3 linked regions of the Canis lupus familiaris genome follow. The protein of the gene in region 2 interacts with the protein of the main gene of each other region in a biochemical or structural test. Links are inferred from orthologs where the notes say so. Each region holds a gene or a part of one and is shown on either strand. Other genes may lie near its edges.

Region 1 (3,652 bases), on a different chromosome or scaffold from region 2:
GTCAGAACCTGTCGACTCATTTCTCACTGTTTCCTTTCCTATGCATTCAACTTCATAGGCTGTCTTTAGTGCTGGCATTCTAAAGAGGTAATTTTCAGGCTTTGCCCACTACTTCCTAGATATACCTCTGACTCTAGGCTCTACAGAAAAGGAGATGGAGGAAAAAGACCCAACTTCTGAATGTAAAAGTACTTGTGAATAGCTTTATTCTGTGTGTGTTTTCTTGCAAAGTAAAGTTAGAAGGGGCATTTACTCACCTTGTTTTCTTTATGAAGTATTTCAAGAGCTAATTTGGCTGCAGTATTTCTGGCCTCCTTCTTTGATTTACCTTCAGCTTCTGGATATTCTCTCTCATCTATGATAGCTTGGAATGTAAATCTGATTACAAAGGCAATATTCATAAAATGTTATAAAATTCCTGCATTATCTACAGACAAGTATTCCAATCACACTGTCTCCCATAACTACCTTGAAGGTTTTAACCTGTTCAATATAGAATTTAAGCAGTCACCCTCACTCAGCCAAATAGCACATCATCTTTGCTCTAGAGCTAATTATGTACTTCAAAATCATGCCAGAGTTGCCATTCTTCCAGTTCATATTTTATACAGCTATACCTTTAAAAAAAAAAACAGCAATTTGGGGTGCCTGGCTAGCTCAGTCAGTAGAGCATGCAATTCTCGATTTCAGGGTTGTCAGGTTGAGACCCACAATGGGTATTGAGAATGCTTTAAAAAAGTCTTTAGAAAGTAGAAATTTACCTTAAGTTATGTGCAGGTCCTTCCTTAGACAGTTCATTATACTTAAGTACCTTTCTGTGCTTCTGACAGAATATATTAAGTTCTTCAATAAAAAAACTTGGTGGACGCTGATTGGCCATTTCCTCTAGTAACCTAGAACAGAAGAGATGTTTGAAAAAAGTGACACAGAATATATTTAATCTCATTTTCCCAATTCAGTGCAGGAGACAAAAAAGGATCAGAAGAATTTTCTTTTTTTAAAAAAATTACTTATTTATTCATGAGAGACACAGAGAAGAGAGAGAGAGAGAGGCAGAGACACAGGCAGAGAGAGAAGCAGGCTCCATGCAGGGAGCCCGATGCGGGACTCGATCCCCGACTCCAGGATCACACCCTGGGCCGAGGGCAGGCGCTCAACTGCTGAGCCACCCAAGCGTCTCAAGAATTTTCTTATAGACTCATTTCAGCCCCACATAAATCCAGAGAAAACGTCTTACAAAATCTTTTTCTCTCATGAACTGCACACCAAGCTAATTTCTCCAAAACTTTCTACTTCCAAAACTCAACTGGTCAAAAAAAGGAAAGGGGTCTTTTTCTTCCACTTTTCTCTCTGCTGCCAGTGAGTGTCAGGTACAGGTATCTCCACCTGCGTGAGAAGGTAAAAAGGCTACACGAGTAGAATCAGAATTCTTCATGATGAGAAAAAAAAGGTTGAGAGTATACATATAAAGTGAAGTCTATAAATGATCGAAGATTTCACTATATAGAAATAGATGCCCCAATGAAATCTCAAAAATCTTCCCTTTAAAATATGCATTAGTCACTTTTACCTGGATAAATAATGACCCCAATTTATGGGTCTATTAGACCAAGAGAGTAGCAGTGATTTAAGTCATAATGAAAATCTAAAAAAATATAGAATCTAAATATAGAAGCCAAAACTATAAAACTCTTAGAAGAAAAAATAAGGGTAATCTTCATAATCTTGGATTTGGCAATGGAATCTTTGCGATGACAGCAAAAGCACAAGCAGCAAAAGAAAACAGATAGATTGGGCTTTAACAAAAGTAAAAACACATCTGTGTTACATAGGACACTATGGAGAAAATGAAAAGACAATTTACAGAATAGGATATCTATAGATCTCCTCTCTGCTCTACTAACACTCACTCCCCTGGTGATCACCTCTAGACTTATGGGTTTAAATTTCACCTACACAATGATGGTTATCACCATCATTAACACCTCTACCCCTGACTATTTCATGACTCTGTTTCTGTTCAATAGGCTGCCTCCTTGACTTCACTCCTTCCACTGCCTCCACCTGGTCAACTCCCATTTCCTAGAGATCACAGCTCAGAGGTCCCTTCCCAGAGACCCTAGAAGTCCTTGTTTGGCACTCCATCACAGCTCTTATTCACTTTACTGCAATTGCTTATATAAATGACTATCTTCCAAAAGAGACCATGAGCCACAAGAGGGAGGGGGCCAGGCTGTTATTATAGGGGGTCAATAATCAATGAATGAATACCAAAATATCAGCAGACCTTCCTCCATCTGCATTACTTGTCACATGCTTTTCGCTTTGCTCTGAATGCAGTATCTACACCTTCTGTCTACCAGGCAACTCCTACTCATCTGTGAGGCTGACAAGTTTTCTTTGATGTTGGAGGGGCAGCCAGTACTCCTCCAAGGGCCTGCCACTCCACCTGGCTCAGCCCTCATAACAGCCCAGTCAGTGAGCTTTTTGGGAAGCAGGTTCCACGTCCTATTCATCTTTGTATCACCAATACCCAGTGACAAGTAGTAAATGTCCAACACTTGGATAGTGTATAGGAAAATGAAAGGATGACCTGTTAAAACTAAATACTCTACTTGAAACCCCCTCATCTGCTCCCTTTTCTTCATCTGCTATTTTCTGGGGATCCTTTCTTCATTTATTCAATAAACACTCATCGAGTGCCAGGCACCATTCTGACAATGAGTATACAGATGTGGACAAGACAAATGAACACCTGACCTGAGGGAAGACAGGAAATGGCCATGCACAGAAACAGATAACGGGAGTGGATAATATGATAAGATGGCCAGAAGTGCTATTGTGAAATTAGATAGGGGTGTGGCATAGAAGGTGAGTTGGTAGGTAGAGGCAGAGATATGAGGGAGGTGGTTTTTAGATACAGTGGTCAGGAAAGACCTTTCATAGGAGGCAATTTTAAATGAAGACTGAATGATGAGTCCATTATATCAAGATATGGGGGAAAAGTAACTCAGTAACCACCATGGCCTTTGAAGGGAGAATAAAAACATCAAGGGATCAAGGGGATGGCTGCATAGTGAGTGAGGGGGAAAAAAGCAGGAAGTGAGTCAGAGAGGTCAGCGCGTATAGATCTTATAGGTCATGGTCGCAACTGATGGATGGTATTCCAATTGCAATAGGAAGTTACTGGACATTCTCTAAGTAGAGAGGGGATGTGATTGGATTAATGGTTTTTTTATTTTTATTTTATTTTTTATTTATTTATTTATTTATTTATTTATTTATTTATTTATTTATTTTTTATTCATAGACACAGAGAGAGAGAGGCAGAGACACAGGCAGAGGGAGAAGCAGGCTCTACACAGGGAGCCCGATGCGGGACTCGATCCCGGGTCTCCATGATCATACCCCAGGCTGCAGGCGGCGCCAAACCGCTGCGCCACCAGGGCTGCCCTAATGGGGGGTTTTTTGTTGTTTTTTTGTTGTTGTTGTTGTTTTAAGATTTTTATTTATTTGAGAGAGCAAGTGCTCGAGAGAACACAAGTGAGGGTGCAGAGTGGAGGGAGAAGCAGGCTCCCCACTGAGCAGGGAAACCGATGTGGGGCTCGATCCCAGGACGCTGGGATCATGACCTGAGATGAAGGCAGACGCT
Region 2 (3,652 bases):
CGTTGTTTTATGAAAATATATATTTTTGAGTATGAAGCCAGTGGGAAGGAATGTTTTCATAGAGATGGGAAATTTTTTTTTAGGATTAAGACAGTCGCTTCTAATGTATATGTTGGTAAAACTTCGACTGCTGTGGAGCTTTTCTGAAACAGATCTTAGGGGAGCGCCTGGGTGGCTTACCTGGTTGGGTGTCCTGACTCTTGGTTTTAGCCCAAGTTACAATCTCAGGGCCATGAGACTGAGCCCCATGTTGGGCTATGTGCTCAGCGCGGAGTCTACTTAAGATTCTCTCCCCTTGCCCTGCCCTCTCCCCAGCCCCACACCTCCACACACACACTCTCTTACTCTCTTCTCTCTCCTCTTTCTCTCACCCCCCCAAAAAAAAGATCTTACAGGAGAGAGAGTTGCTGCCTGTGAAGAAATTTGAAAGTGAAATCCTGGAAGCAATTAGTCAAAATTCGGTTGTCATTATCCGAGGTGCTACTGGATGTGGTAAAACCACACAAGTTCCACAGTTTATTCTAGATGACTTCATCCAGAATGACCGAGCAGCAGAGTGTAACATTGTAGTAACTCAGGTAAGTAGTGAGCCAGCTTACAAGGGGGGTGTCTGGTGTTGATAGAGTTTGAGAGGTGGAAACACCTAGAGGCCAGGCTATTTCTAGTTCTTTGTAACTCCCCTTTGTAGCCACATTAGGCCCTTTAAATTTTTTTTTTTTTTTTAAAAGAAGTTAAGTCTGGTTCTAATCTCCTTCACTGATAAGCTGAACTGAACCATGTAAATGATTCTTCTTGTCTGGGCTAGAGGTAATCTTTGGTCCTAGAATCAGACAAGACTGAGAATATTTTTTCCTTAAGTTAATATGTAAATGTTGGTCCTCTCCATCTTAAGATCCACCTTACTACTCAGAGCAAGAGTAGGCAAGCCAACAAAACAGGTAATGGTTGACTCTAACTGAATGCTTTATGTATGCCAGGTTCTATTTGAAACAGTTGGTATTTTCTAAACTCATTTGAAGTTTATTATGACTCTAAGATGTACATATTTTCTTATTTAGTATTTCTCCTTCATTAAACTAAGGCACAAAGAACTAAATAAATTGCCCAAGTTATTAACACAGGAAGTAGTGGAACTAGGATTCAAAACCAAACGATTTGCTTCATTTAACTACTACATTGTATTACCTTACCAGCAATAAGTGATGCATGTGAGTTTGTCCCAGAGCTTAGGGAAGAACTAATTAGCCCTTTCAAGCCTTGGGTTGAAGCAGTTCCCGTCCATTCTAACCCTGTACTTCTGGCACTTAGAAGGAGAACACTATATAGAAAGAAGCCAGATACCACCTCTTAGGCAGCCTCAGACCTTGACTTAGGGACTCTTAACCTGGGACACATAGCTGATACTTGGGGAGGAGTTGTGAACCTCAAAATAGCAAAATTTTAAATTTAAAAATTTTTGAAATTGATGTAGATCTTGATTGTTGTCTTATGTTTGATATAAGAGTTGGGTTTTTTGGGACACTTGGGTGACTCGGTGGTTAAGCATCTGCCTTTGGCTCAGGGTGTGATCCCAGAGTCCTGGGATCAGGTCCCCACATCAGTCTCCCTGCATGGAGCCTGCTTCTCCCTCTGCCTATGTCTCTGCCTGTCTCTCTCTTTGTCTCTCATGAATAAATAAATTAAAAACCTTTAAAAAAAAAAAAAGAATTGAGCTTTTTGACTTAAAAAATTACGGATTATTGAAAGAATGGATGTTGCATTTAAATCAATGGCATTTTAGGCTTAAAAAATATCATAGGTCTACGTTGTTCTGGGAAAGGACTCTTTTTTTTTTAAATATTTTATTTATTTATTCATGAGATACACACACACACACAGAGAGAGAGGCAGAGACACAGGCAGAAGAAGAAGCAGGCTCCGTGCAGGAACCCCGACATGGGACTTGATCCCGGGACTCCAGGATCACGCCCTAGGCCGAAGGCAGGCGCTAAACCGCTGAGCCACCCAGGGATCCCCTGGGAAAGGACTCTTAACTTTCTTCTTAAAATGTTTGATTGCAGGGGATCCCTGGGTAGCTCAGCGGGTTAGTGCCTGCATTCGGCCTAGGGCGTGATCCTGGAGTCCCGGGATCGAGTCTCATATCAGGCTCCCTGCATGGAGCCTGCTTCTCCCTCTGCCTGTGTCTCTGCCTCTCTCTCTCTCTCTCTCTCTCTGTATCTCTCATGAATAAAAAAATTAAAAATCTTTAAAAAAATGTTTGCCCTTCCCATTCCCAAAACTGGCTATGAATCCTTTGCCTGATAGTGAAATTTCCAGCACCCAGTACTGTGACCAATAAAATGTCCTTGGTCTTTGTTTTGTTGTTTTTTGTTTGTTTTGTTAATATCTTTGCTCTTAATGTTTACCTGTCTTATAGGAGGTATATTTTTCAGGAAGGTGTATTGTTTAGAAGAGGAATCTTGAACTCTGCTCTGCCCTCCTTCCTTACTGCCACTCACCCTTTTCATCTCAAAAAACAGTTCAGTCATATAGGAAGAGATGCAGAATTCAGCAGATGAGCTGAAAACTTGTCTTCTCACTCAGAAGTTGATCACATGTCATGAGTAGAATAAAAGTCATTTCCTGTTGAAGTGAGAAGCTGTTTTTTTCACTAGCCATCTAATAGATATCAAAGCCAAGTTAGTTGATCTAGCCAAAAATGGCTTTTGTATAAACACTTTTTAACTTTCACTAGGTTGTGTCCTTTTCCAAATAATTTGGTCATTTCCACTGGTTTTATCTGTGAAATGCACAGGTTTTAATATATAGGCTATAACAAATGTTAATGAGTTACAGAATGGTATTCTGCTTCTTTGCATAAGAACACAGCTTTCACTTCTATTAGTCCTCTTTTATTTATATTCTTTCATAAAGTGATAGAATCATAAAGTTGAAAGATGCTTTGGAGAATTATTCCATCTTTTTCTCTGGGTGGAATGTTTATTATAGATGGTCACTTAACTTATGCTTGAAAATTTCCATTTGTGGGATGCCTGGGTGACTTAGTGGTTGAATGTCTGCCTTTGGCTCAAGGGTGATCCCAGGGTCCAGGATTGAGTCCTGCATCAGGCTCCTTGTTTACTGGGTAGTCTGGTTCTGCCTCTGCTTGCCCTCCCTTCACTCCCTCCTACCCCCACTTCTGTGTGCTCTCTCTTTCTTTGTCTGACAAGTAAAATCTTTAAAAATAATTTTCCGTCTTATGCACATGCTGTTATTCTTAAAGGATGGAGATTTTTAAAGACTGTTTCTAACATTTTGGTATTATATATACTGAGATGAACATACTTGCACCTAAATCTTTATGTATTCCTTTGATTATTCCATTGAAATAAATTCACAAACATGGAATTTTTGGGTCAGATGATATACATATTTTAACTTTTTTTTTTAATATTCCATTTATTTATTCATGAGAGACACGGAGAAGAGAGAGGCAGAGACGTAGGCAGAGGGAGAAGCAGGCTCCATGCAGGGAGCCCAACCGGGATCATGTCCTGGGCTGAAGGCAGCACTAAACCGCTGAGCCACCTGGGCTGCCCCTATATTTTAACTCTTAATGCACTTGGCTCTATACTCACCTTAGGAAAAATCCCATCAAATTATTTATGAATAA
Region 3 (3,627 bases), on a different chromosome or scaffold from region 2:
CCTGGGTCAAAGGTGGCACTAAACCGCTGAGCCACCTGGGCCGCCCTATGTTGTAGAACTAAAAGTCTAACAACAGTCCAGAAAATTATAGAAAGAGTGATAGTTGAGTTTAAGGAATTGGTTTAGCAGATAAAATATTTTTTCAAAGCCACTGCAATTAAAAATGAAGAGCGATACTGGCATAGTAATACAGTGGTGGAACCAGAATAGAGTCTAATGAAGGTTCCCAGTATGTTTTGGAACTTAGTAATTATCAAAGTCAGCACAGGTTCCTTATCTGAAACCCTAGGATGATCACTAACATCCCTAGGTGGGACCTGGGAAGGTGACTTATAGCCGAACCATCAGTAATGCCTCAAATGACTTATATAAGTGGTATAAATAAAGACGGCTCAAAAACACAATGGAGTTTTAGGGGAAAACTTTTTCCTTCTGGATTTCAGATTTGTGGAGAAGGGATTATTATAGACCTGTATGTCAATTTAATGGAGAAAGCAGTTTATCTCACAAATTTCTGAACAAGAAAGCTGGACCTTTAATCTCCTGCAATATATTTAAATTCCAGAAATAATAAATGTGAAAAATAAAAGAGCAAAATTTAGATTGTTTACCTTGAGGTTGCAGAAAGCCTTCCTGAGCAAGCCAGGAAACCCAGAGGTCGTGGAGAAGATGACCTCCTAGAAATGCTGGGCAGGTGGCCCCATGTGCGTATCAGATCTCTGAGATTCGCTGGTGGGCAGGGAAATGCCACAAGAGGATGCATACATTATTTTCTTTCCTTCAACTGCAAAAGTACCCAACAGTGGGAACATCTGATGCTGCTGAGGAGGCAAAAGGATAAGTACATTGTTTTAATACAGGTGGAGGAAGCCCGACTTACTACTACAACGTACTACAACTTTTTTGCAGAGTACTGAGACACCATCACTTTGGGGAACCTGTTGGGTAGCACCAACATGGAAGTATTTAAGTTTATTCTGGTGGCGTTTGGTTCTTGTAGCAAAAATCTGGAAACCCTGTAAGTGGGCTTCCCTTGGGAGTTGCATGTACATCTCTGTGCTGACAGGAAGGAGGATCATGTGTTGGCAAGTGATGAGCTGCAGATGAAATGATCTGACCTAGCATCCTAATTGTGCATCTTTAACTTGTTTCATTTTAAGCATGTATGAGGACTATCCCTATTTTCCCCAAATAGTAAAGAAAATGAGTAAAGAAAAAGTGAAGGTGGGGAAACAGAATAGAAACAGCAAGTGACAGGATGATAATAAAGAGTTGGCTGGGATGCGGCAGCAGGGTTCCTGGGGGTGGGGCTCCCCCATGCCAACAGAAATAGCCTTCATCTTCCAGCTTGTGGCTTTATATATGCATTATCTTCATACTGACAAAAGTGAGATTTGTCTGTACTTCCACCATTGAGGAAAACCACTTAGCATTTCAGTGTAAATCCTTCCAGACAAAAGGCTCTGGCATGCTATGCATACTGCCTTTCTCAGCACACAGAGGGAGATAAGCCCTATTTTTAAAATAAAATCTTATTTGAGAGTGCATGCACCATTGGTGGGGAGGAGCAGAAATAGAGGGAGACTCCCTGCCGAGCACAAAGTCCCACATGGGTCAAGATCCCAGGATCATGACCTGAGCTGAAGTCAGATGTTTAACCAACTGAGTCACCCAGGGGTCCCAGAAATGAGCCCTGTTTTAAGGACTGCATGTTGTTCTTTTGAATGTATGATTTATTTAACTACACAGAACTTTTAGGTGTTTTCCAGTTTTTCTGCAACTATGTGCATGAATGTTTCCAAGTCTTAGGATAGATTCTTATTCCTGTAAAGAATTACTGAGACAAATTTTTGAGACAAACTTAATTTTGATACATTTTATCAAACTGCTTTCCAAAAAGTAAACAGTTGACCTTGTCACCGTCAGGGTAGGAACCCTCTTTTCACCCTTGCCATTTAGGGTATAATTCTTCATCCTCGGAATTCTATGAGTTAAAAGGAGGTATTTCACTTAAATGTACTCTTTGACATTTGTATTCCAGATCATATCCTCCCTGTTGATTCTAAAGAGTTCCTTGCGTATGGGCAGTTGGCTTCTTGATAATAGGTTGCAACTTTGGCTTTTAGTAGGTTTCCTAATTTGTTCACTGTTTGTAGTTTTTATGTAAGCACATCAGATTTCTGCTGTACAGCTGTAAAGACATATGTCTTTAATCAATTGCATACAGTACGTATGATGTGGAAGAATGGAGCATTCGAGCAAAGATCAGATCAGGTCTTAGCTCCGTGCTTGTAGAGTGGCCCTACGCTTGTACCCAAGGTACACTTGTACACCTACATCACGTGGTTAGAGTGCTTGGCTGTGCTGAGCCCAGGGGTTTGGGAGGGCTCCGCAGATCTAGTGGCGTGTGGGAGGGGGGCTTTCTGGCGCCCAGAGCAGCCTCTCCAGCCCTGCCTGCCTTGCCTGCAGCTCATGATGGAGCAGTCCAAGAAGTCCTCGCTCATGGTGGCCCGCAGCATCCTCAACAACAAAATCATCAGCAAGAAGCTGGAGCGCTATCTGAAGGTGAGGTGCCCCGGCCCCCGGCCCCCGGCCTCCGGCTCCCGCGGGCCCTCGCTCCCTTCAGTGTCCGCTTCCCTCCCCACAGGGTGAGAACCCGTTCACCGATAGCCCCGAGGAAGAGAAGGAACAGGAGGAGGCCGAGGGCGGCCCCCTGGACGAGGGCGCGCTGGTCGAAGCGGCAGGGGGCGCGGAGGGTGTAGAGGGCGCGCCGGCGCAGCCCCCCGTGCCCCCGGAGCCGGCCCCCGGGGCCGCGTCTCCGCCACCGCCACCGCCCCCCGAGGAGGAGGAGGAGGAGGCCGTGCCCCTGCTGGGCGGGGCGCTTCAGCGCCAGATCCGCGGTATCCCGGGCCTCGACGTGGAGGCCGACGACGACGAGGAGGAGGGTGGCGGGGGCGCACCGTAACCCGGGCCCCGGGCGGGCAGGACCCGCGTGCCCAAGGCTGGAAGCTGAGCCTAATAAAGCTCTTCCCGTCCCATCTCTTTCTCCTTCGTTTGTTGGTATGCGGCACCATCGGCATAGGAAGGAATGGCGTGCGCCTGCGCGCGGGGCCCGGGGGAGGGTGGGGGTGCGCCTGCGCACTGGCGGCGGGAAGGAAGAGGGAAGCGCCTGCGCGCAGTAAGACTGCGTGATCGGACCAAAACTCCCAAGATGCTGTAAAAGCTGAGCCCAAGCAACCGGAAGGCCCGCTGGGGCGACAGGGGCGGGTGCGCAGTGAAAGCCAGCCAATGGTGGGGCGCGGGGGGAGTGACGTATGCTCCTGGTCTTCCAGTAGCGGACGGCGGAAGGTGTGTTGAGCGCATGCGTCCTGTGGCAGCCTAGAAAAAGGGGCTGCTGGCGGGCCGAGCTGAAGACATGGAGCAGGGCTACGGAGGTTCGTGTGGGTGCCTCGGTGCGGGGTGGGGCGGACAGGCGCTGCTCAGGCGACGCAGCCGCTGGTGCGTACAAGGCTGCAGGCCGAGGCCTACAGCGGAGCGCGGTTACTCCAACCCGGCCGAGCGGAGAGGAGGCCGGGGCGCGCGCGCGCTGCTCATTGGACCTCGGCGCCGTCGCTCCCGGGGCGCTGC

What was found.
Region 1: the proteins of DHX9 (region 2) and EIF2AK2 form a complex in vitro, tested with the Homo sapiens proteins (2 studies listed by BioGRID, with this or other methods). The link is inferred for Canis lupus familiaris from reciprocal best matches to the Homo sapiens genes DHX9 and EIF2AK2.
Region 3: the proteins of DHX9 (region 2) and AKAP8L form a complex in vitro, tested with the Homo sapiens proteins (2 studies listed by BioGRID). The link is inferred for Canis lupus familiaris from reciprocal best matches to the Homo sapiens genes DHX9 and AKAP8L.

What each region holds. Positions count from the first base shown.
Region 1 is NC_049238.1:29,682,655-29,686,306, forward strand, and holds part of EIF2AK2 (interferon-induced, double-stranded RNA-activated protein kinase), read right to left. Parts: intron 894-3,652; 5' UTR 881-893; coding exon 762-880; intron 379-761; coding exon 258-378; intron 1-257.
Region 2 is NC_049228.1:16,147,199-16,150,850, forward strand, and holds part of DHX9 (ATP-dependent RNA helicase A), read left to right. Parts: intron 1-386; coding exon 387-578; intron 579-3,652. UniProt on the Homo sapiens protein: Multifunctional ATP-dependent nucleic acid helicase that unwinds DNA and RNA in a 3' to 5' direction and that plays important roles in many processes, such as DNA replication, transcriptional activation, post-transcriptional RNA regulation, mRNA translation and RNA-mediated gene silencing.
Region 3 is NC_049241.1:47,209,181-47,212,807, forward strand, and holds the end of AKAP8L (A-kinase anchor protein 8-like), read left to right. Parts: intron 1-2,469; coding exon 2,470-2,565; intron 2,566-2,647; coding exon 2,648-2,965; 3' UTR 2,966-3,040; downstream 3,041-3,627. UniProt on the Homo sapiens protein: Could play a role in constitutive transport element (CTE)-mediated gene expression by association with DHX9. Increases CTE-dependent nuclear unspliced mRNA export.